4 linked regions of the Arabidopsis thaliana genome follow. The protein of the gene in region 2 purifies or fractionates together with the protein of the main gene of each other region. This does not show direct contact. Each region holds a gene or a part of one and is shown on either strand. Other genes may lie near its edges. The genes, in order: SLY1, CUL1, RUB1 and TIR1.

Region 1 (3,481 bases), about 11 Mb from region 2:
TTGTTAAATTTTAGTATGCCACATAAGTGGTTTATAAGTTCTTTGTAATCACTCGAGTTTGTTTATAAATTTCATATAAAACCAAGAACAGAAAAGGAGTGTTTTTATCAATTCACACAAGCTCTTAAATTATTTTGTTGACTCTTACTTACACCTCTTTATTTCATTATTCTTTCTTTACCGACATATAAAAAAAGAAAATGACAAAAGTGGTTACGGCGATAATGATTCTGATTTGAATAAGGAGATGGTGGTACATGGTAATGATGTGTAGGCTTGTAGCTATCACTCAAATACACATAAATCTAGCGAAATTAAGGCTAACCATCGCAAGAATAACCAAATCAAACAACATTTGAGATTTATCGTACCGCTGTAAAAACTAGACGGCAAAACTGGATCCGACAGAGTAGTAACCACCGGGAAATGTTACAAACGAAGGACATAAAGAAATAAGCAACATTACATAGCTTGACGTTGATTCCGGTTTGGACTTAAAGTGGTGAATGTTAGGTTTATTACCAAATTGGTGAACATTGTTTTTCATTGAATAATAAAACAGAATCGTCACTAACAGTTCTTAATCTTACCAAACTGGATCACGAATCGATTTTGTTACAATCATTGTCCAACTACGGACCAACTTAACTTCACGACAGAACCATTACAACAAAATCGAATCACATTTGATATTAAATCTACTTTTAATCAGCTCCGATTACAGTAATTAAAAATTCTCATCACCCTCTATTATTACAGAACACAACTGTTGCTAACAGTCTGGCTTATGGATACCAACAAATTTTATTGCCAGCATTGAACATCACATCTGACTTACCAATCAACAAACTCCAAATACACAAACTCCAAAACCAAACTCTAATAATTTGTAGTCAATTATTTGGATTCTGGAAGAGGTCTCTTAGTGAAACTCATCTTCTCGTAGTATCGAATTGAGAGAAGAGAAAGAGTGAGTTTAAGCTCGTCCTTACCGAACCTAGCACGCGGATTGGGTTTAGAGAGAGGCCAGAGGTAAAGAGAGTGGAGTCTTCGGAAGCCACCAAGCGCCAACACAACAGATCTGAGCTGGTTCTGCCCGCAGCCGATGTTAGTCCAGTGACGAGTACAGATCAGCTCCCAAAGCCGCTCGTCTTGTGCCGTTTTGTGCCAGATCTTGCTCACGCAAGATGACATAGCTAAGGTCTTTGCGTCGACGTGTTTCAACACCTCGTACACTAGATTCTCGTCTAAATTGGAGAATCCGATTTCTTCTTCCTCTGTACTCTTCATCTTCTTGTTTGTCTCGTTGTGAGCATCACCGGCCAAATCAGAGTCGGTAGTACTGCGCTTCATGTGGAATCGATTGCGAAGATCAATCAAAGTTGTTTGATTTGAGAGGAGAGATTGAGAAAAAAAAGTATTGAATTGAAAAGAAGATTAGAGATTGGGGTTTCTCAGATGCCTTCTCTTTGAGAACTTTCGAAGACGACAAAACGAAGATAAAAATGCTTTTTGTAAAATGACGACTTTACCCTCATATACTCCATAGCTGTTTTGGACTTTTGGAGTCCTTTTTTTTTTTTTTGTCATCTTGTTTGTTAAATAAAATTGTAAAACATAAAAAACAATACAACAAAAAGCCCAAGCCCATCTTATAATGTTGTTTCTTCTTAGTTCTTCCCAAATGTTTATTTTCAACTATTAAAAAGAGTGTTCATTGAATGTACCAGAGAGACCTCTAGGAATTTTTGTGAATTAACGGATAATCCATTTTTTAAATCTTATTTCAACTATTGACTAATTTAGCATCACGTATTTTCAGATAAAAGAATCAGTCGTTTAGGACTTAAACAGAGTGAATTATTTGGGTGCCTTTTCATTTTCTCACTTGAATTGTCCTTTTTAACAAATAGGTATTATTAAATCAGAGTTAGGAAATTGTACTGTACCTTTCTTTTTAAGTTTGTGTCAGCAACTTGTATTTTGCCTCTTTTTCTGATCAAATTAATAAATATGGATTGCACGACGAGTCTTTTGACACAATCTATATATACTGTCAGAGTGATGACAATTGCTTGGAATTAATCAGAAATTCATTTGTTTAATGCTCTCTAACAAACAATAAGAAATTCAATATAACTTCAGATGAGAACAAATCATTTCTATCTTCACTGGATCATTCTTTTCTCTCGAAAATGTTCGATGCCACGATCTCAAAATGTCTGCAGCTTCTATATATGTTCTTCCGTAAACTAAATTCCATCAAGTTACCATCGGATAACGCGAGTACCCCTCTAGCTCCTAGCTCTACTCAATTTTCTATATAAAAAAAAAAACTTGACGAAACCATGGATTAATATATATATGCGAGTAACTTGTATTTTGCAGGATGAGTTCGTTCGATGGTACTTGGGGCTATCCTTCTCAGCTAGAGTGGTGATTTATATTACAGTTTTGGGTACTATATTTCTCCCATATTTATATAATTAACATATGGAGTACTATTTATCTTCAATGTAGAGCTAATTTGTTTGTTTTTTTGTTTTTGTTATTGTTTCTCAGGAACAATAATGACGATTACTTATTTGGTATTGAAATTCCTGAGCGAATGTGACATGGAGGATGACACACAGAGGCTACCATTGGTGGCAGAAGAAGAAGTCACCACCGATTGGACGCCGCCGTTGATCAATGAGTCGTTGGAGGTAACGGGGAAGGGAGATGTAGAAACGGCGTCGTTTAGCTCGTCGGATGATGTGGACTACTCGACACTGTGTGTTATATGCTTCGAGGAACGTAGAAACTGTTTCTTTGTACCGTGTGGTCACTCTGCCACTTGTCGCGGCTGTGCTCAAAGGATCTTGTCGGAAGAAAGTAAGGTGTGTCCGATTTGCCGAAGGGTGATACGCAAATCAAAGAGATTAGTGTTGAAAAAGCTTTGAGCGCCGTTGCTTTGCCTAATCACCATTTTGCGAACTCATGCTTCCAAGAAACGCCCTTTGCTTTGCGTTTTATTATTATTTGTTCTTTTCAGTTTTCAGCGACACAAGTGAAAGAAAGATCCGAGTATCTTTGGTGTCACCACAAGACTATAATTCCATACAATCTGTAATTTAACAATGCAATTCTTTAACAACCAAAAACAAAGACAATTCCATGCCAATGTACACACTAGCATTTGGATTTGTTTCTTTTTCGGTAAACCGATTTGTATTTATCATGCCAACTGTTTGCGTTTTTGGGGGTGTATCATGAAATTAAAATCAATTCTGTAAAGTTTAGATTTGAAATTTGAAATTATTTTTAAAAATCTATTTTGAGCCATTTGAAATGAAATTTTTTCGGAGTTTCATAACATTGGATGTTAATGAAAGTATTTAAAATCTTAGTTGAATAACACCAAATTATAGATTCTAGTAAGCATGATTTACAAATGTAAAGATTTCATAACAACAGATTTTAAAGTATAGTTTAGAATCAT
Region 2 (7,595 bases):
GTTGGAATTTGCTGATTCTTATAATTTGCACATCTCCTCGCAGCTTTTTCATCATAGTGCAATGGCATGATTCTTTGTTTGTTTAACAGAATCTCAAGCAAATAAAAAGTGAGAAACATTTGCTCGATGGAGTAAAATGACTCCGCACCTCAAAACATATATGAACAGAATTTCTCCATGTCGTATATATCATTCTCTGTGTAGGCTCCAAATATCGTCTTTGATGATCCGTTCATAATTCATATTAACCCAAAAAAGAAAGAAAAAAGCACATTGGAATCAAGTAATATAATCCACCAGCTCCACCATTAACCCGTTCAAAATTGTTATTAACCTTAACATACCCGTCTTTGTATCCCAATAATATTTCAGATCATCATACAACAGAAAAACGGCTTAAAATATAAGACATTGGTCCTAAGCAGAAACTATTACGGTTCTGGTGGACTATAGCTAATGACGTAGATGATTACAATGATTTTTAATGTTCGGCGATTGAGGAAGGCACCTTCCGTCGGTTCATCTTTGTCTCATTAGCGTTCGATTATAAGAAATCTCATATTATTTGTTACGACTTTCCCATCCGTCAATATAACACAGAGATACATAAAACTTAAATAATATGATCAAGGATAAATATATTAGAAAGCAGAGATTCATTCATTAAGGCCATTTCTCCATCTCCATTCAATATTTAAGAAACAAAAATCCACAAGGCAAATTTGCATCCCAAAAAAAAAGCACAGACCGAATATTTTTTAAAAGAGAAAAATAGCGAAAATGAAGCGATAAATTTGTTTTAGGACAGTCTCCATATGGACTTCTAAATATACAAGCAGATTCCTTTCATGAGCCAACCACTTCCATAGTTGTTGTTTTTTTGCCCTAAGCCAAGTACCTAAACATGTTAGGATTCTCCTTGTCCCTCTCCAAATAATCTCTGGTTATTAAATCCTCCATACGCTTCTTGATCGCTTTGATATCAGGCTGCAACAAACATCACAAATCCAATGAGTTTCATCACCACGTGCATCTTCAAATGTCTCTGTATAAATATAATTATATGTATAATTTACCTTGAACATTCGGCTAAGTTGCTCAACACACTCAGAAACAAGTTGTTGATGTCCCAATACTTTCCTGCTCTTCATGATCCTGACAATGGCAGCATCAATTGCATATCTTCTGTCTTTATCGACATCTTCAACGACTTTCTTCCTTTCATCAACTGGGGGAAGAGGGATCTGTGACGCAAATCACCCAAGTTGATGTTAGTTATTAACAATATGTAAAACATGACATAAACTTGCAGACTTTTGAGTATTACTATTAACGTCACAAACCTTGATTCTGCGCATTCTATCGGTGAATTTGGAGTTGAACTCAAAGGCATCATTCTGGGAGACAGTCTTGGTGTTTGGCTCCTTAAGGAGTATCTTGTACTTAGCACATGACAAGGAATGAAGCAACCTAACTAGATCTTCATGGCTTAGGTTCAGTTGAGCCAAGATCTCAGTGTAACTTAACTTGTCAGTTGTGTTAAAGAGTAGAAGCACAGCAGCCTATAGAGACAGAGAACGTGGCATCAGAGTCCGTTTACAGATAGAAAATATATATCAGTATTTTCTGAGAAACATACAGTACCTGGTAAGTAGACACTATTAACTCGATGGCCTTTTGATCAAACTTCCCGTTTATGTGACAAGTTCCCAGTGAATAGATCCACGTAAGCTTCCTGTGTTTCGTTTTCGTTTCATAAAACCCTTTGAAGACTTCAACACACTTGATCTGAAACAAAGAATCAACGAATTAGATCTATCAGAAGCAAACAATCTCCTTTTCAGGTATGTAAGAAAATCAATAGAGTTTTTACCATTTCACTGGGTAGATTTATGTCAAATGATTTGTAACTTGGCCAGAAACCAGTGGTAAGAACAGTGACGGTCAAGTCAATCCCTGGGTTTGCAGCAGGGTTACTGCCTAGATAATCCTCGAAACTGTTTTGGTTTTCTCTTGCCAGTGTCAAATCCGTCACCTGTCACCAGCGGATTAAAATTATATAGAAAACATAAGTCATCAGAGCACGCACCGCTTTAAAATAAGAAACACAGGGACACTCAAACTAACCATGCCCTCCATCTTAGAAGTAAACTGTCCACCACATTGTTGCTTGAGCTTTGTCAGGATACTTCTCTCATGATCATCATTAGCACTGCGATCAAATAAGAGCCTACGGGCCAGCTTCTTCCTGCAATCAAAACCATAAACAAAATGGCTTGCAACTCAGTAATCCAACTTATGTCAATCAAATTGTATATTGTTGCAAGGCATCTCCACAAAAAGCTAGTAAAAACAAAACATTACAAGAAAAACAAAGAGTAGAAGCAAAAAGAGTCGATCCACAGATAAAGAAAGATTGAAGTTGGAGATAAACCTGTAGAACTCAGCGAAAAGATCCTTGTCACTTATGTATGCAAGCAATTTGACAACCTGTAACAACATTATAAAATTCAGGACCACTCTTTGGAGACTTGAAAAAGAAAAAACAGTTTGACAAAAGTACCTTCTCAAGCGTATCTTCGATAGCTTCATCACTCAGCTTTTCACTTCCCCCCTTTTTGAGAATATTGTCGCAAAATGTTGCAAGTAGTTCTGCACTTGAACTTCCAGCAACCGTTTTGTTACAAAAAATCTCAAATGCCTCTTTCAAAGCCTAAAATATGTTTCCATAAACTTAGGTTAGTAACACAACATAAACATGAATAAGATAGACAAATGACAAGTGCGCAGAAAGAACATTAGACCTTATGGAAGAGGGTGTGGTTCTGGAAACACTCGGTGACATATACCATGTATTTATCATGAAGTTCAATCACTTTTCTGATAAGAACCTGGAAATAATGAAAGGACAGTGAATCGTTAGCAATTTTATCCCCAAAAAAAATGAATCTCTAATTTCCAATATATCTTTACTACAATCGGTTTATAATTTTACCTGTTCCTGGACGCTAGCAGTATTTGCAACCTGTGGAATAAAAACGATCTTAGCAATCACAAACGAAGAAAGAAGAGTTATCCGAATATAACAAGTAAGATAATATGAACCTGATTAGTAGCCGTGTCTTCGGCCTGTTGGACAAGAGCGTTACCCTCTGCTGTGACATGCTGTGAACGAATAACAAGTTACAGTTAATGTCATACAGTAATTAAGAGACTGCAAGTAGACCATGAAGAAAAGACTATCCATTTGCTAATCATAAACAAAAGAATGAAGATAGGTAATAAACCTGCTTAAAGATGTTTGCAACAGGTTCCAAGCCTCGCAAAATTTTATGGTAAAGCCTGTACATCCTGGAGAGATCATCCACCTGAAAGTAGACAAATATAACCATTAAAGAAATAATTAAGTCACTAACTACTCAACAATAAAAACAAAAATACTTGCTCTACCTTGTCATCTCTTAGCAATGCACGGCACCCTGAGTGTTCTTTTTCTAGAAGCTGACTTGCAAACACAACCAGCAATTCATGTTGTACTTTCTGCATACAAAAGATTACTATACAAGTCAAACAGATATCAATCTTTAAAATCAAGTATGCCTGGACTACGCATTTAAAAAGAGTCTGGAAAGTATCTCAATACAAATAACAAAATTCAAAATCAAGGCTTATGCAAGATCTATGGTTTCTTCATCAAACCTACAAGTACAGGCATAATTACATAGTGCATAATAACCAACCTCAACCAGCTTTGGCTCACTGCTTGAGTGTAGGTAGTGAGCCACTCTCTCCCTCTCCTTCTTTAGACATTCTTCAGACTGTAACATGAAAGCACAGAAGTTAATAAATAATTTCAACTATTGTGAAATAAAAACAAATTTTAGAAAATGATATCACGAGTCATGCCTTCAACATGTAATCAGGGCAAGAATCTTCCTGAATCCAGCTTGATGCCTTGCGAGAATAATACGAAGAAGTATCTTGAAGCATGAAGCTTTCAAAATCTTCTTCATACCTCTCCATCTGCCCCATTCCAATCTCTACATAGATATCTAATACGTTTTTCAGCAGGGCCCTATCAATCTGCTCGCCCTCCCGTTCTTTATCAACCTGACAGAAGAACAGGTCATGTTAGACCTTGAATCAGGCAAAAGCCAGAGTTGGATGTAACTGCACAACAATATTGACGCCATACTTACAAGAGCTATTACAGCTTGTTTGACCTTAGAATGTAGCTCATTATAAACCTGAAGCGAACAGAATCAAGGAAAAGTTAAAAATATTTCAATACAACTGAAAGCTATAAAGCCACAGGAATGAATGCCATACCAGGTCACGGAAGCATGTCAGGCCAACTTCATTCAGTGGTGGAAGTGATCTCCGAGCAATGAAGTAACGGTCAAGGTAGTAGAAGAAGCGGGATAGCCATCTGACCATTACTTTATGGTTTGACCATCTTTTAAATAGCTCCCGCAGCATAAACTCATCATGCTTCTCCCTCAACGCAGGCAAAACCTAACCACAGACAACAAGAGAGCAAACATTCAAAACCGTTTGAATCAACTTAAAACCAAGAGGGGACAGGACTTCTTGACATATGAAACCATGCACAAAAGTGGCATCTTAAAATTCAGAGGTAGTAAAAACGAGAAGTTTATAAGAAAGAAACTAAATATCAATCAGACTCACTGTTGAGTTAATATATTCCTCAAATGCTTCCCGATACTTGTCATAAAGCTGCTGTGAGTAATCATGAGGAGGTTTCTGGGTGCACATGTTGTAGATAGTCCTGAGAATCAAATAAATTCCCCATCATAAGTATCAGGACAAACAGCCAAACCGCTATATAAGGTAATAAACAAGTATAAAACCTACGTATAAAGCATCATATATTGCTCAGAGTCAAATGCTGGCTCATTCAATCCTTCCAGAATCCGTTTCAGCTTAGTAATTCCAGTCTGCATATAGTCCCATCCTTGCTCCAAGTCAATAGTCTTGCGCTCCATGTTGACAAACAACTTTTCAAGCTCTCCTCAACCTAAGTTAACCAAAGAACAAGGAGAAAACCAAAATTTAGAACAGCAGTATTAAGCAACACAATGAAATGACTGAAGCGAGAGAGTCAACAATATTTATCATTCTTCAGAGGTTATAATAACACGTTAACACCCACATTATCGAATGCGAAACGAGTATTATCACCCAAATCAAACCCAAACTATCAGATTGTGCGCAAACGAGGACATAAGCATCAGAATATACTCGAGAAACAATCAATCCATGAGATAAACACGAAATTACACAGTAGAAACGCAATCCAGAGACTCCGACGTAACCCTAACAATCTCGATCCCACAAAAATTCAAATAAAAACCTAGAAAGACGAACAATCAACAGAATGATAAAAAAATCAACTGTCGTATGGAACAAAACAAGCGAGAATCCGACAGAAATAGTGATACCTCGAGATCTTAAACCCTAATAATCAGAAAATCGCGTCGCCGTACCCCAAACAGACCCTGACGATTACCGATTCCCGATTACACAGGATCGGCGAGAGCTGCTGCGATCGAAAAAGAAGCGAGAGAGAGAGAGAATCAAAACCCTAAGAATCGTTCAGGAAAAAAGCGTAAAATAGAGAGAAAGAGAGACGAGACCTATGAGAAGGGCGGTGAAAAGATATCTCAGGAAACAAACTCGTTCTCTTCTATTCTATTATTTTCAGGTCTTATAGATTTAATTATTTTTATTTTATGTCAACTAATATATTAGTATAATATTAAACAAATTTAATTTCTTACCTTTTCAGAGATCTACATCAAGACGCTGCGTTTTATAATTTTTCTTTGTAAAGTAACTTATTTACTTTTATGCCCCTTTATTTTGCCTTCCTTACTCAAACCCTAACCCGAATCGGCTTTTTGACAATCCGAAATTAGGTAACCATGTTCATTGAATTTATCGTTTCAACACATTCGAATCACTGAGTCCTACGTTTCAGTTTAATTCCCTGATGCACATTTTGAATTCGGTTTGCGTATTGGTCTTCGAGTTTTCCGTCGGCGGCCATGGACGCGTTCAAGGAGGAGATAGAAATCGGGAGCTCGGTGGAGTCTTTAATGGAGCTATTGGATTCGCAGAAGGTGCTTTTTCATAGCCAGATCGATCAGCTCCAAGATGTCGTCGTTGCGCAATGCAAACTTACCGGCGTTAATCCCCTTGCGCAAGAAATGGTGGGTTATTGTTTCTATGTTTTTTGGTATCTAAAGTTCGTGTTTTATTGGGGTATGGTGATATGGGCAAAGCTGAGAGGGACAGGTCATTCGGATTTTGGAATAAATTCTTTGAAGGGTATTGAGTCTAGCAAAAATTAGAGGTGTTTTTGGTATAAATTCATATAGCTCGACCTCTCCGTTTCTTCTGTGAACTGTAATGGTGATGCTTCAACTGTTTATATGTCATTTCTCTGATCAAGTAATCATCTCTGTTAAAGACATTAATCTGTTTAATTTTTTTGTTGTTTCAGGCTGCTGGTGCTTTGTCCATTAAAATTGGTGAGTCATCTTAGGATTCGTGAGATCTTTTGGCATAATTACGTATATCACAGAGAATGTTTCAATTCATTGTTGCTCTCTAGGTTCATTAAAGGCATACCCAACTTTTACGTGCTCGATGCCTAGTATCTGATGAATTTGTAAATATTTCAGGAAAGCGGCCAAGAGACTTGTTGAATCCTAAGGCTGTTAAGTATCTACAAGCAGTTTTCGCAATTAAAGATGCTATTAGTAAGAGGGAATCTCGGGAGATAAGTGCTTTATTTGGCATCACAGTCGCCCAGGTATTGTTCTTCTACATGATATGTACTCTTTTTTGCCATGCTTTTAGAATTCCATGTCAGTTTAGATCTGTCATGTTGAGGTACTCATGAGACTTTGGTTTGTCTCTTTATTATTTTCTTCAATGGCAGGTTCGAGAATTTTTTGTTACTCAAAAGACAAGAGTGAGGAAACAGGTGAGGCTTTCAAGGGAGAAAGTAGTTATGTCCAATACGCATGCTTTACAAGATGATGGTGTTCCGGAAAATAACAATGCCACAAATCATGTTGAACCCGTTCCCTTGAACTCTATACATCCGGAGGCATGTTCTATAAGCTGGGGTGAAGGTGAAACAGTGGCACTTATTCCACCTGAAGATATTCCACCTGACATCAGCGATTCAGACAAATACTTTGTTGAGAATATATTTTCTCTGCTGCGTAAAGAGGAAACATTTTCAGGCCAGGTGAAACTAATGGAGTGGATCATGCAGATACAAGATGCTTCTGTGCTGATCTGGTACTAGTTGGGGGTTCTCTTTCACCCACTGTCTTATTTTATTTTATTGTTATTATATTCCCGTCTTGACAGTCATTTTCTATATGTGCCACAGGTTTTTATCAAAAGGAGGGGTTTTGATACTTACAACATGGTTAAGTCAAGCTGCTAGTGAAGAGCAAACAAGTGTCTTACTTCTTATCCTGAAGGTACGAGATTAATTTACTTGCAGCTGGATGGCTGTAAAAATATGCAGATTGTTTTATTATGGATAATTGACA
Region 3 (4,180 bases), on a different chromosome or scaffold from region 2:
GTGGAGACAACGGCGGAGAGGAGGCGGCGATAGCACCGGGAGGCGGAGCTGGAGCTCCATACACCTGAGGATTTGTACGGATCTCACGACGGCCGCGAGATTTTCCGAGGAAGTAGCAGCCAAATCCGAGAAGTAGACAGAAGAAAATTAGAGGCAGAGATATGACCACAACCAAACCCATCGATCTTGACTCTTGAGATCTATGTTCAATCTTCTTTCTGATTGATTTTTATTCTTGGACTCTTGTTCTTGCTTTGATTCTACTTCACATGTATTTATATGTATGAGTTTGTGGGAGGCTCTGGAAGGATCCGATTCTGTCCGCAACGTTTATGTCTTGTAAAGCTTTAAAGCTTAACGTTTAAATCTCAACGGTCATCTTTTTTTTTGGTCGGCCCATCCATACGATTTCTTCTAGTTTTTATAATCACATTAGTCATGTCTCATGTGCTTTTCTGGCTATGAAAGTATAGAGAATCAAACTCAAGTTGACAAGTTAAGTTACTTAGAAAATTAAAGTAAAAATTGTTAAATGTGATGGACACTCATTGGATTTGACGATTTGTAACCACTATTTCATTGTAATGCAAATAAATATGGGACTATTGATGGACTCATGCAACCAGCAATCTCAATCGGCCTGGTCCGATCTTACACATAGCTCGATCCTATTTTCACATGTCTAGCCTCTTTCTTGAATGAAAGATATTCATCATAAATAGCTAAATCCCAAATAAATATGTTAAAGTACGATTCGATGTTAAACAAAACAAAATGATTCGATATTTAACAGATTATTGGTAAAATGATCCAAACCCAGTGAAACAGCATAATATTCAAAGTATCATATCCAAATTGCAATCACTTTTTTCCCATGAACTCCAACAAGCCATACAAAGAGAAAAAGATATCTTCAAGAGTTACTTCTCAGAGAAGACCAAAACCACCCCTAAGGGCAAGAACCAGATGAAGAACAGAGCCTCCCTCTATGTTGTAGTCCTTTGCCGTTTTGTCATCAGCTAGCTGTTTTCCGGCGTAGATTAGCCTGCAAACATCCATGAGATATATAAGCATCCTAGAAATACTAATGAGAATCACTGTTATATGAGACAGCATAGATTATCAGCTTGCACGCAGAGTAGAATCGTTTGATGCCAAAAGCATAAGTAAACACACTCGAAAGGAGCTGCAATTTTCTCAAGAGGGAAGCAGCCAGTCACTAAAACATGAAAATCAAGTCAATGAACCGCAACTTATACAATCAAGTAAAAGAGCTGAGCTGAAAGGAGCTGCAATTTTCACAAGAGGGGCAAGTCACTAAAACATGAAACTCAAGTCAATAAACTGCAACCTATCTTATACAATCAGTTTTGACTCAACCACACAAACAACTCTAAGAGAGCTGAGACAGATATCACAAAGAGTTAATATAGTTCAAGACTCAATGTTCCCAAGGCAAAAACTTTGCGACTCAATTCTTCTGAAGTAACTGGAAAAAAAGAAGTTATTTACCTTTGTTGAACAGGAGGGATACCTTCTTTCTCCTCAACACGTTCCTTAATCCGATCAATAGTATCGGTTGGTTCGATATCAATCTCAATTTCCTTCCCTGTGAGAGTCTTCACCTTAATCATAGTCCCACCCCTAAGCCTCAATACCAAGTGAAGAGTCGATTCTTTCTGAATGTTGTAATCCGCTAATGTTCTACCATCTTCAAGCTGCTTACCAGCAAATATCAACCTCTGTTGATCAGGTGGTATTCCCTCTTTGTCCTGTTTTCATCAAATCCCATCCATTCATAAACCAATTAGAAGAAGACCAAATCAAAAGATCATTAACAATAATCTTAATCCAATCTTCTTAAACTCAGAAACAATTAACCATTCTCAAGCAATTCACATACCTTCAAGTGTACCATAAAACATAAACAAATACGAAATTAAGCAAACACATGAAGGATTAAGAGAGCCTTTGTGCTTACTGTTACACAGAAATCTAAAGAAATCTTAACATCGATCGCTAGATAATCGGGGAAAGAAAACCTAAAAATCAATCAAACAAAGCAAACCAATCTGTGTCTCCAACAATCAAACAAATTCATAGTGCAAAACCCTAGAATCCTAAGAAAAGCACGAGGAGGTGGAATTGGGAGACGGAGAAAGAGAGAAAGAGAAACCTGAATTTTGGCTTTGACATTGTCGATGGTGTCGCTGCTTTCGACCTCTAGGGTTATGGTTTTTCCGGTGAGGGTTTTGACGAAGATCTGCATTTTTTTTTTCCTTTCTTCGCTGAAATGGTGTTTATGAATATTATTACGGACGGGAAAAGTATTATATATATACAAATAAAATTTGGGATATAGTTTTGAGGATTTTGGAATAAAAATACTTTTTGAAAGATTTGGAATAAATCCTTTGATAGAATTCGTAATTAGCTTTTGGGCTACGCTATTATTTCTTCTCCATTTCTTATATAATTTTACTAACAATTTTAAAAATTATCTTTAAATCAAATATATTAATGTGGCTTTAAATATATTGAGATTTTTTTGTTTGTTTGTTATTTTAGGATATTTAACTTTTAAAAACAAAAATTAAAAGAGTTTTTAGATTTTGTACTAAAATTAGTTTTCTTAGATTTTAAGAAAATATGGGGACATTGAATTTTTTTTTTAGTTTTAGAACCAAAAACGAAAACAACAAATTGTTGACATTCAATTTTGTTGGAATCTAGAGCTTAGTGCAAAACCCACTAGTCTCTACATACTATGGACCATGTTGTGGCAGTGAGTGGTTTGACGCGAAACCTCTTAAATACTATGGTCAAAGAGATCAAGCTATGTTCAATTTTAGACGGTGATAAACCTGAAAGGTCAAATGGAAGAATCTTAAAAGCTCGACAACATTTCATTGGACTTGAATGGGTTGTCTCTCTAGCTAGCGTTTTGTTATTATAAACGCAGACTCATCGTGAAAGAATTCACCCTTTCATGTAGGTATTGGAGACGCTTCACGCTTGTTTGGACCATATGTGTATCCCAATGGCATCATACCAAAATTAAAGACATCTCTCTAACCGTTTTCTTCTCAACCACTAAAAAGCCTTTTCACCATCTTTATTCAAACTTGTTCACATATAGAACCCATGTGATTTTAAAAGTATGAACCATATGATAGATTACAAGATGGTCCACATTGACGTGAAGAGCTCATATAAAAGATGGCCTTTATTTCTTGTCAATTTATCACAAAGAGGTCTCTCATTAAGCCCAATGGATCGGATAATTTTAAATCCAACCCAATAGATCACTTTTCTCAATTCTCTATTCTAAGGTTTTTAAGCTTTGGTTTCTACATATAAATTCAATTAATTTTCTGCTGATTTTTTATTTTCACTGACATATGTTAGCTTTCTGAAAGTTGGTTTCAGTCAATTGAAAATTGAAATCAGTTATTCAACACCACAATAAAGATGCAACGAAAAAACAAAAACAAGTTACACATAGCTAACGCCTTACAATGCATGAGAGGACTTTATAAAATAGGTGATTCTTATCCATATTTTTGTATGTCTACATCTTGAGTTGTTGAATAAACGTGGTTTGTTCTGGTTTACTCCAAGTTGGTGAGTCTCTTAACATTATAGCATCACCGATGGCTTTTGGTCAGTTTTGGTATGCTTAATCAATCTCCATAAAATAGAACAGATAATAGGTAAATGAACCATTATAAATCTCATCAAACTTAAATATTAACTTAAAATCAAATGATAAAATGAATCGACTCCCCAATGTATATATGAATAAAAGGTTTAAATGCATGTAGCGGACGAAATTCGCTAAACGATTAGCGAATTAGATTATTATATTTTTGGGATAGATAACAATCTATTGTATACCAAATTTATTTCTATGTACAAACGGATCATAGTTAGTCCGCATCAGATTTGTTATATTTTTTGACATGTACTACTATAAATTATACTAGAGGTTCACTCCATAAACGGATTCGTCCACTCCAACTATCGTAACCATTCGTATCCAAAATTTTATTTTATTTGATATGTGAAATTTCTAATAATTGTACGTTGATTCATAAAGGAGAGAGAGATATTCCATATTTCCACAACCAAACAGATTTTTATTTTTAACTACGAGTTGAATAAAAATTATATAAAGTTG
Region 4 (5,750 bases), on a different chromosome or scaffold from region 2:
CGCCAAGAAAATGTCTGCAGGTTTCAATTCTCTGCAATGACTGCAACAAGGGGAGTAAAGCTATGTTCCACATTTTGGGACACAAGTGCAGTGATTGCGGTTCATACAACACTCGGAGAATCTCAACGCCACAAGATCCAGTGAGTGAAACAGAGTGATCATTTTCTGAAGCCAACTCTTCTTCATTGAATTTTCCCGTCATTGGTCCAACCATAGAGCGATAGGGCTGTGTTCTGCTTATTTATTTTTGTTCTTGGCCTAAAAACACTTGAAACGGAAAATATCGTACTGTTATATAAATGGTATTACTGTGTTTAGTCATCATGTAAACTGAAAATTTGAAAAAGCTTGTTTTTCATATGAAAAACAACAGTTCAATTACATTGTGTCCTATCACACGTTTGACGATGATGCTATTCCAAGACCTTTACACAGAGCAAGATTCTCTTGTTTCTAATTATGGTGATAAAGAGAGTGTAGGGACCTGAGACGAAACTAGGTGCTGTTCCAAAACCGAAAAGGCTGCAAACAGTTCATTAAGCGGACAAAGGAAATGGCAAAGACAAAGAGAGAGAGAGATAGAAAACATTTAAAAGGATAAAAGAGTCCAAACAAAACAAGTAGAACAGTTACATTTTTGACATTGTCTTTTAAAAAAATCTCTTATCCTCTTAAGAAAAATACCCCACCAGGATCTCTCAGTGTAAGTAGCCAAATAAACATACAACAATCAATAATTCTTACATAAATAAAACAAAGCTCTCTTAGATCTCTCTTTCTCTCTCTCCACTTATTCATTGCTCATGAGCTTGATGGTTATATGAAGCAGCCGAGATTCAAATTATTGGCGACCGAGCTCTCTCATGTTCCTAAACCGGAACACGATTATATGGGATGATGAACAAGGATTAATGAAAAATGTACCTCGTTTCTTTGTCTTATAATCCGTTAGTAGTAATGATTTGCCTGGAAAACCTCATTGTTGAGTCTTGGTCCATGTTCCAGACGAAGCCAGGCATGTCAAATCGAGGACCAGCCACTGTTCGGTATATGAAGACTCTCTCAACAGGGCAGCTCTCTGGTCTCGAGTCCGGTGCACCCCGTTCATCGATGACTTCCACATTCAGCTTTGGCATCTTCTGTCCTAGTAACTTGCAGGCTCCAAAACTCACGGAACAAGAAGACATCCAAAGGGATCGCATTGTCTCCAGCTTTGAAGCATTGGCCAAAAGCGCCTTGTCTCCAAACGGGCAGTCCCTTATCTCTAGTTTCCTCAAGCTATCGCACCCGGACAAAACATGATGCATGCCTAAGTCACTGTCTCCTGCAAATGCCACTGAGAGCATTTCCATCTTCTTGGCATATGTCCCAATGTATTCAAAAACCTTGTCGGTCAAGAGGCCAGATAGAGAGAGGCGACGGAGATCCTTGCAGTGCTCTACTATGGCTCCAAATCCAATATCCAGTGGCTCTAGAGTCAGATAGTCTGGGGCTTTTGGCTCAATGATGCACAAACGGAAGCGAGTCATGTTGGGACGGTTCCTAGCAATGGTTATCAATGCAGCATTGGTCATTTGACGGCAGAAGTAGAGAACCGACTCGAGTTTTGGACAGCCCATGGAGACGGAGACAAGCCCCTGTTCCGTCAATGCCACATTTGGTTCCATGACAAAAGGCTCGGACGGAAACACTCTCAGCTCGCGTAGGTCCTTGCAGGTTGAAGCAAGCACCTCAAGACCAGCATCCTCGATGTAGTCAAGCACCTGTAGTCAATAATAAGTTAGAGCACAGTTACAAAAAGAAAAAGGCTTTAATGCTTATAATTCAGATATATTGCTCTATATCATTCAAATTTTTTAAGAAAACTATGAACATAAGCTTTCTCATACCATACAGTAAAATGACCTATTCCAAATTCATGTGTTAATGTATGTTAAAATGGACTCACCCAGAGGCGCTGCAGTTTAGGGCATTGACAAAGAAGCTTGACAAGATCATAGCTCTGGACTGTTGCATAACTCAGATTCAAAGTTGTAAGCCGACTGCAAACCGAATAAACTGCTGGAAGATAGGCAGGAACAGCATCCCAAAATCCAGATAAGCACCTCAATTCCTTGCACCCAGAGAGCGCTACAGATAAACCAGAGTAAACATCTGGTCGCACTTCTGCAGTGTACCCACCAGTGCCCAATTCCTCCAATTGAGGTGCTCTTTGAAGTAAAGTAGCCAATTTTTCAAGTGGAACAGCTCGGTTAAGCTTGAGAGACTTGAGATTGGGACACCTAGTCACCAGCCTTTCCAGAGCAGAGAAACTGACCTCAGATGCTAAGCAAGATATATTGAGTGATACCAAAGAAGTGTATGTATCTGGGAAATGGCTAAGCCAGTGGCCACTAACGTCGTCAACATCACTCTCTCGTAAGTCAAGCTCTTTCAGATTCCTGCATAAGAAATCACATAATTAGCATCGAGTGACCCACATTATACAACTTCGAGAACATAAACATTGCCTACAATACATGAGCATAATTGTCATTAATTTGTCCAAAGTTGTATTTGATACAATGTAGAAAGATCACTTTGGGAAACTATCTAAGCATAGAACAATAACAAATTACTAAATTTATCACGTGGAAGCAATGTGAGAGATGCTAAAACAGAGCTAAAGCGAGTAAAGAAGGGGAATCCGAAAACAGATCTAAGTTTCCCAACAAGGTAAAAAAAGAAAATTGAAAGTCCCCTACAAAAAGAAAAGTAACACACACAAAGCCAAATTGATTAGATTTCCCACCTCAGGAGATTCACTGAGAGCGAATAATCCAGGAATAAATAGATACACCACCGTTAAATAAGACCCACCAGAAAGAAAAAGAGAGTGGCTATAATAAGAATCTTCAGAAACGTGATTAAAACATATATCTTTTAGATACGCAAAATCTTGACCAAACCAAAAAAAAGCTCACAAAGACCAGAGTAACATCAGCAGGAACAACGCAGCAAAACCTATATGCCCAGATCAAATAACAAGTACATGAATTTGCTATAATTGAGACTTTATGTAGTATAATGAATATACAAATCACACACCAATAAGTTTAATACAAACAAAAGCTTCTTCCTAGAGACACAAGGGAGTCTTCTTGATGAAACAAAAAACATTCAGAAAAAGAATACCTGCAAGTGGCAGCGATAGCAGCGAGACCATCGGTGGAGAAGCCTTCGCAGGAAGAAAGCACAAGAACCTTAAAATTCTTAAAAGACTTGGCTATGAGCTCCAAGCAATCGTCGGTGACCACCATCCTCTTCAGCCTTATCTCTTCAAGCCACGTGTAAGACGAAGACATGGCCTCAATCCATGGATACACGTAACCTCCCCATCCGTCAGGTACCAAATTAAAGTCAGCAAAGTGAGGTTTTCCTTTAAGCTCCACGGATCTCACTTTCGGGAACCTCCTAATCACCGTCGCTGGACTCACGGCGTAGCAGTTCCCGATGAAGACTTTCCTCCTGCACCACCGCTCGATCTCGTACCATGACTTGCACACCAGAGAGACTGAGTTCCTATCCTTATCCAGCTGAATAAACGAGAACACATGCTCTAGTACCTCTTCTGGAAACGACAAGGCTATTCGCTTCTGCATTGCGGCCAAATAACCTCGAGATCTCGATGATCGAACCAGAGGAAGAAGTTGGACAGCGTTCGAAGAAGAGTTGAACAAGTATATATATATAACTCCCAAGGTTAGATCTGAGGCGCCATTAACGGAGATAATCTAGTTTCAAAGGAGAAGCTGAAACAAAGATGAAGAAGATAGATAGAGAGAGAGAGAGAGTGGGAAGAGAAGAGAAAAGGATAGGGGGAAGGAGAAGGAGGTCAAGTTAAAAAAGCCAACCATGGTTGGGTTAAAAGTTAACCGTGGTCAAACATATCCATGTGAGCCTTTTCGGTGATTGTGATTGTCGATTCTGATGATGACACGTGTCTTATAAGCTTCAAATACCAGCCGTCCGATTGAATGAAAGCGGGAGATTATCTTATCGACTGTGCAGAGAAGGGCAGCCGCAGAAAACGGGACGAGATATTGGAGAGGGGGGGTCGGCTTATCGCGGCTTCTATCAAAATAGCGCGAGAAGGAGATCAATGATAGGGTGTGGTAAGGTGTAGGAGAAGAGGGAATCTAATGATACGCGATGCACGGCTGGATATGAGGGGAAGCCCCGTAAATTGCGGGGACCACAACAGAATGTTAAAAAAAATACTAGACTACTAATGATCTGACGGTAACAAAACAATAAAAAAAGAAGCTATTACTGTTATTTATGATGACATCACAACCGTCCAATCATGTTTTGATGTGGAATCTGAGCATCTATCTCCTCCTATTATTAGTTTTGCATGTTCATTTATTTACCCACCACTTGGATTCATAAATAAACCATCAAGACTAATCACAGTTTCATTTTCTATTTTCTAGTAATATATAGTATTGATAAATTTGATTAACTAAAGTGTATCCTTTCTCATAGCATTAAAGTGAAGTAAATAGAGTTGAATGATGAATTAACATAACAAGAATCAGTGTTTTCGTGTGAGATTGGATTAAAACATTATTTGTATGTTTTTGAAGATTGCTGAATAATTTAAATTAAAATTGAAAGGATTGCACAAAAAAGAGTAAATGTGAGGGAAGTATCCAATAATTTAAAGTGAACAACTTTTATGAGTAGAGAAAGAAAAAAAGAGAGAGAAAGAATGGATACTGAAAAATTTGAATAAAGTAGAGAAGAAAGAAAGAAAGAAAGTGCAGCGTCGCATTTTAATCACGACCGTCAGATCTGGGACCCCTTTTTAACAGTGTACGGACATACATACATACACAATCGTGACTTTTAAAATTAATAATTACTTCTTAATTAATTTACCTCGTCTGGGTGTAATAAACGTATAAAAACTACAATTATTTCGGGCTCTGTCGCAAGTACAACGGCTTAGAGGAAAATAAATGGGTATTGAATTGACGAGAATGCCCTTCTTCTCGAAACAGTGTATGATGGGCTTTGCAGAGTCTGAGCATGGAGTTGATAGGTCTGTCCTGCCCTAACTAAAAAAACTTGTCACATTATCAAACTGTTCTATATCATCTTCGTATTACATACCATCCTGACCGTTTATCCACTTAAACTACTATTTAAAATATCGCACCTTTCTAGTTTTCTTTTTGAATGTACTGTTGATTAGTTCTTAAACCAAAAATAAAATCTAAAAATTATAATGACATACATACAAATACGAAGATTTTAAAAAAAAAAAATGTAGCAAGCAAGTGCTCAGAAATTGAGGTAGTAACGAAGAAAGAGATAATTAGGAAAAAACAAAGAGAGGGCTGAGTATAGTCAGATGGGAGAAGTGTGGAGCTGAGTTGTCTTGCACGTAATACGCTTAAGTTTTTTTAAAATTATAAGTTTTAATGTCGTCAGAAAAAGGGATTAACTTACACTGATATAATAAGAGGTCATTGATTATGAATTTTTTAAGGAAATGATTAGAATAATAATCCCACGCATGGCTCCCCCGCGAATCTCTCTTATTTCTTTCTCCTAGTCTCGGGTTTCGTACTCAAAACTAGCTTGCTCTTTGCTGTCTATTATCCCTTAATTATCTCCCTAATTATTTTTTTAATTATCTCTTCAGCGATATTAGATCCAACTCTGAATGAATTATAAATTGTGTACCTAAAAGCCGAGAATAT

Evidence for each region.
Region 1: the proteins of CUL1 (region 2) and SLY1 purify together in Arabidopsis thaliana (affinity purification with western blotting; 2 studies listed by BioGRID). This does not show direct contact.
Region 3: the proteins of CUL1 (region 2) and RUB1 purify together in Arabidopsis thaliana (affinity purification with western blotting; 2 studies listed by BioGRID). This does not show direct contact.
Region 4: the proteins of CUL1 (region 2) and TIR1 purify together in Arabidopsis thaliana (affinity purification with western blotting; 4 studies listed by BioGRID, with this or other methods). This does not show direct contact.

The regions. Positions count from the first base shown.
Region 1 is NC_003075.7:12,561,530-12,565,010, reverse strand, and holds SLY1 (F-box family protein), read right to left. Parts: upstream 1,733-3,481; 5' UTR 1,354-1,732; coding exon 898-1,353; 3' UTR 529-897; downstream 1-528. Other genes in the region: AT4G24204 (RING/U-box superfamily protein), read left to right, coding at 2,196-2,282, 2,389-2,458, 2,563-2,942. UniProt on the Arabidopsis thaliana protein: Essential component of the SCF-type E3 ligase complex, SCF(GID2), a complex that positively regulates the gibberellin signaling pathway.
Region 2 is NC_003075.7:1,126,726-1,134,320, reverse strand, and holds CUL1 (cullin 1), read right to left. Parts: upstream 5,807-7,595; 5' UTR 5,658-5,806; exon of another isoform or gene 5,564-5,657; 5' UTR 5,508-5,563; exon of another isoform or gene 5,463-5,507; intron 5,039-5,462; 5' UTR 5,007-5,038; coding exon 4,876-5,006; intron 4,790-4,875; coding exon 4,690-4,789; intron 4,516-4,689; coding exon 4,330-4,515; intron 4,248-4,329; coding exon 4,200-4,247; intron 4,111-4,199; coding exon 3,907-4,110; intron 3,819-3,906; coding exon 3,741-3,818; intron 3,541-3,740; coding exon 3,451-3,540; intron 3,369-3,450; coding exon 3,288-3,368; intron 3,166-3,287; coding exon 3,106-3,165; intron 3,026-3,105; coding exon 2,996-3,025; intron 2,892-2,995; coding exon 2,805-2,891; intron 2,714-2,804; coding exon 2,564-2,713; intron 2,491-2,563; coding exon 2,435-2,490; intron 2,249-2,434; coding exon 2,128-2,248; intron 2,036-2,127; coding exon 1,874-2,035; intron 1,789-1,873; coding exon 1,645-1,788; intron 1,563-1,644; coding exon 1,344-1,562; and 6 more. Other genes in the region: LD (Homeodomain-like superfamily protein), read left to right, coding at 6,069-6,233, 6,527-6,554, 6,708-6,838, 6,968-7,335, 7,430-7,523.
Region 3 is NC_003070.9:11,217,149-11,221,328, forward strand, and holds RUB1 (uncharacterized protein), read right to left. Parts: upstream 2,471-4,180; 5' UTR 2,270-2,470; coding exon 2,177-2,269; intron 1,773-2,176; coding exon 1,513-1,772; intron 1,046-1,512; coding exon 928-1,045; 3' UTR 547-927; downstream 1-546. Other genes in the region: AT1G31335 (uncharacterized protein), read right to left, coding at 1-181. UniProt on the Arabidopsis thaliana protein: Ubiquitin exists either covalently attached to another protein, or free (unanchored).
Region 4 is NC_003074.8:23,272,541-23,278,290, forward strand, and holds TIR1 (F-box/RNI-like superfamily protein), read right to left. Parts: upstream 4,091-5,750; 5' UTR 3,642-4,090; coding exon 3,175-3,641; intron 2,442-3,174; coding exon 1,949-2,441; intron 1,764-1,948; coding exon 939-1,763; 3' UTR 525-938; downstream 1-524. Other genes in the region: AT3G62970 (zinc finger (C3HC4-type RING finger) family protein), read left to right, coding at 21-158. UniProt on the Arabidopsis thaliana protein: Auxin receptor that mediates Aux/IAA proteins proteasomal degradation and auxin-regulated transcription.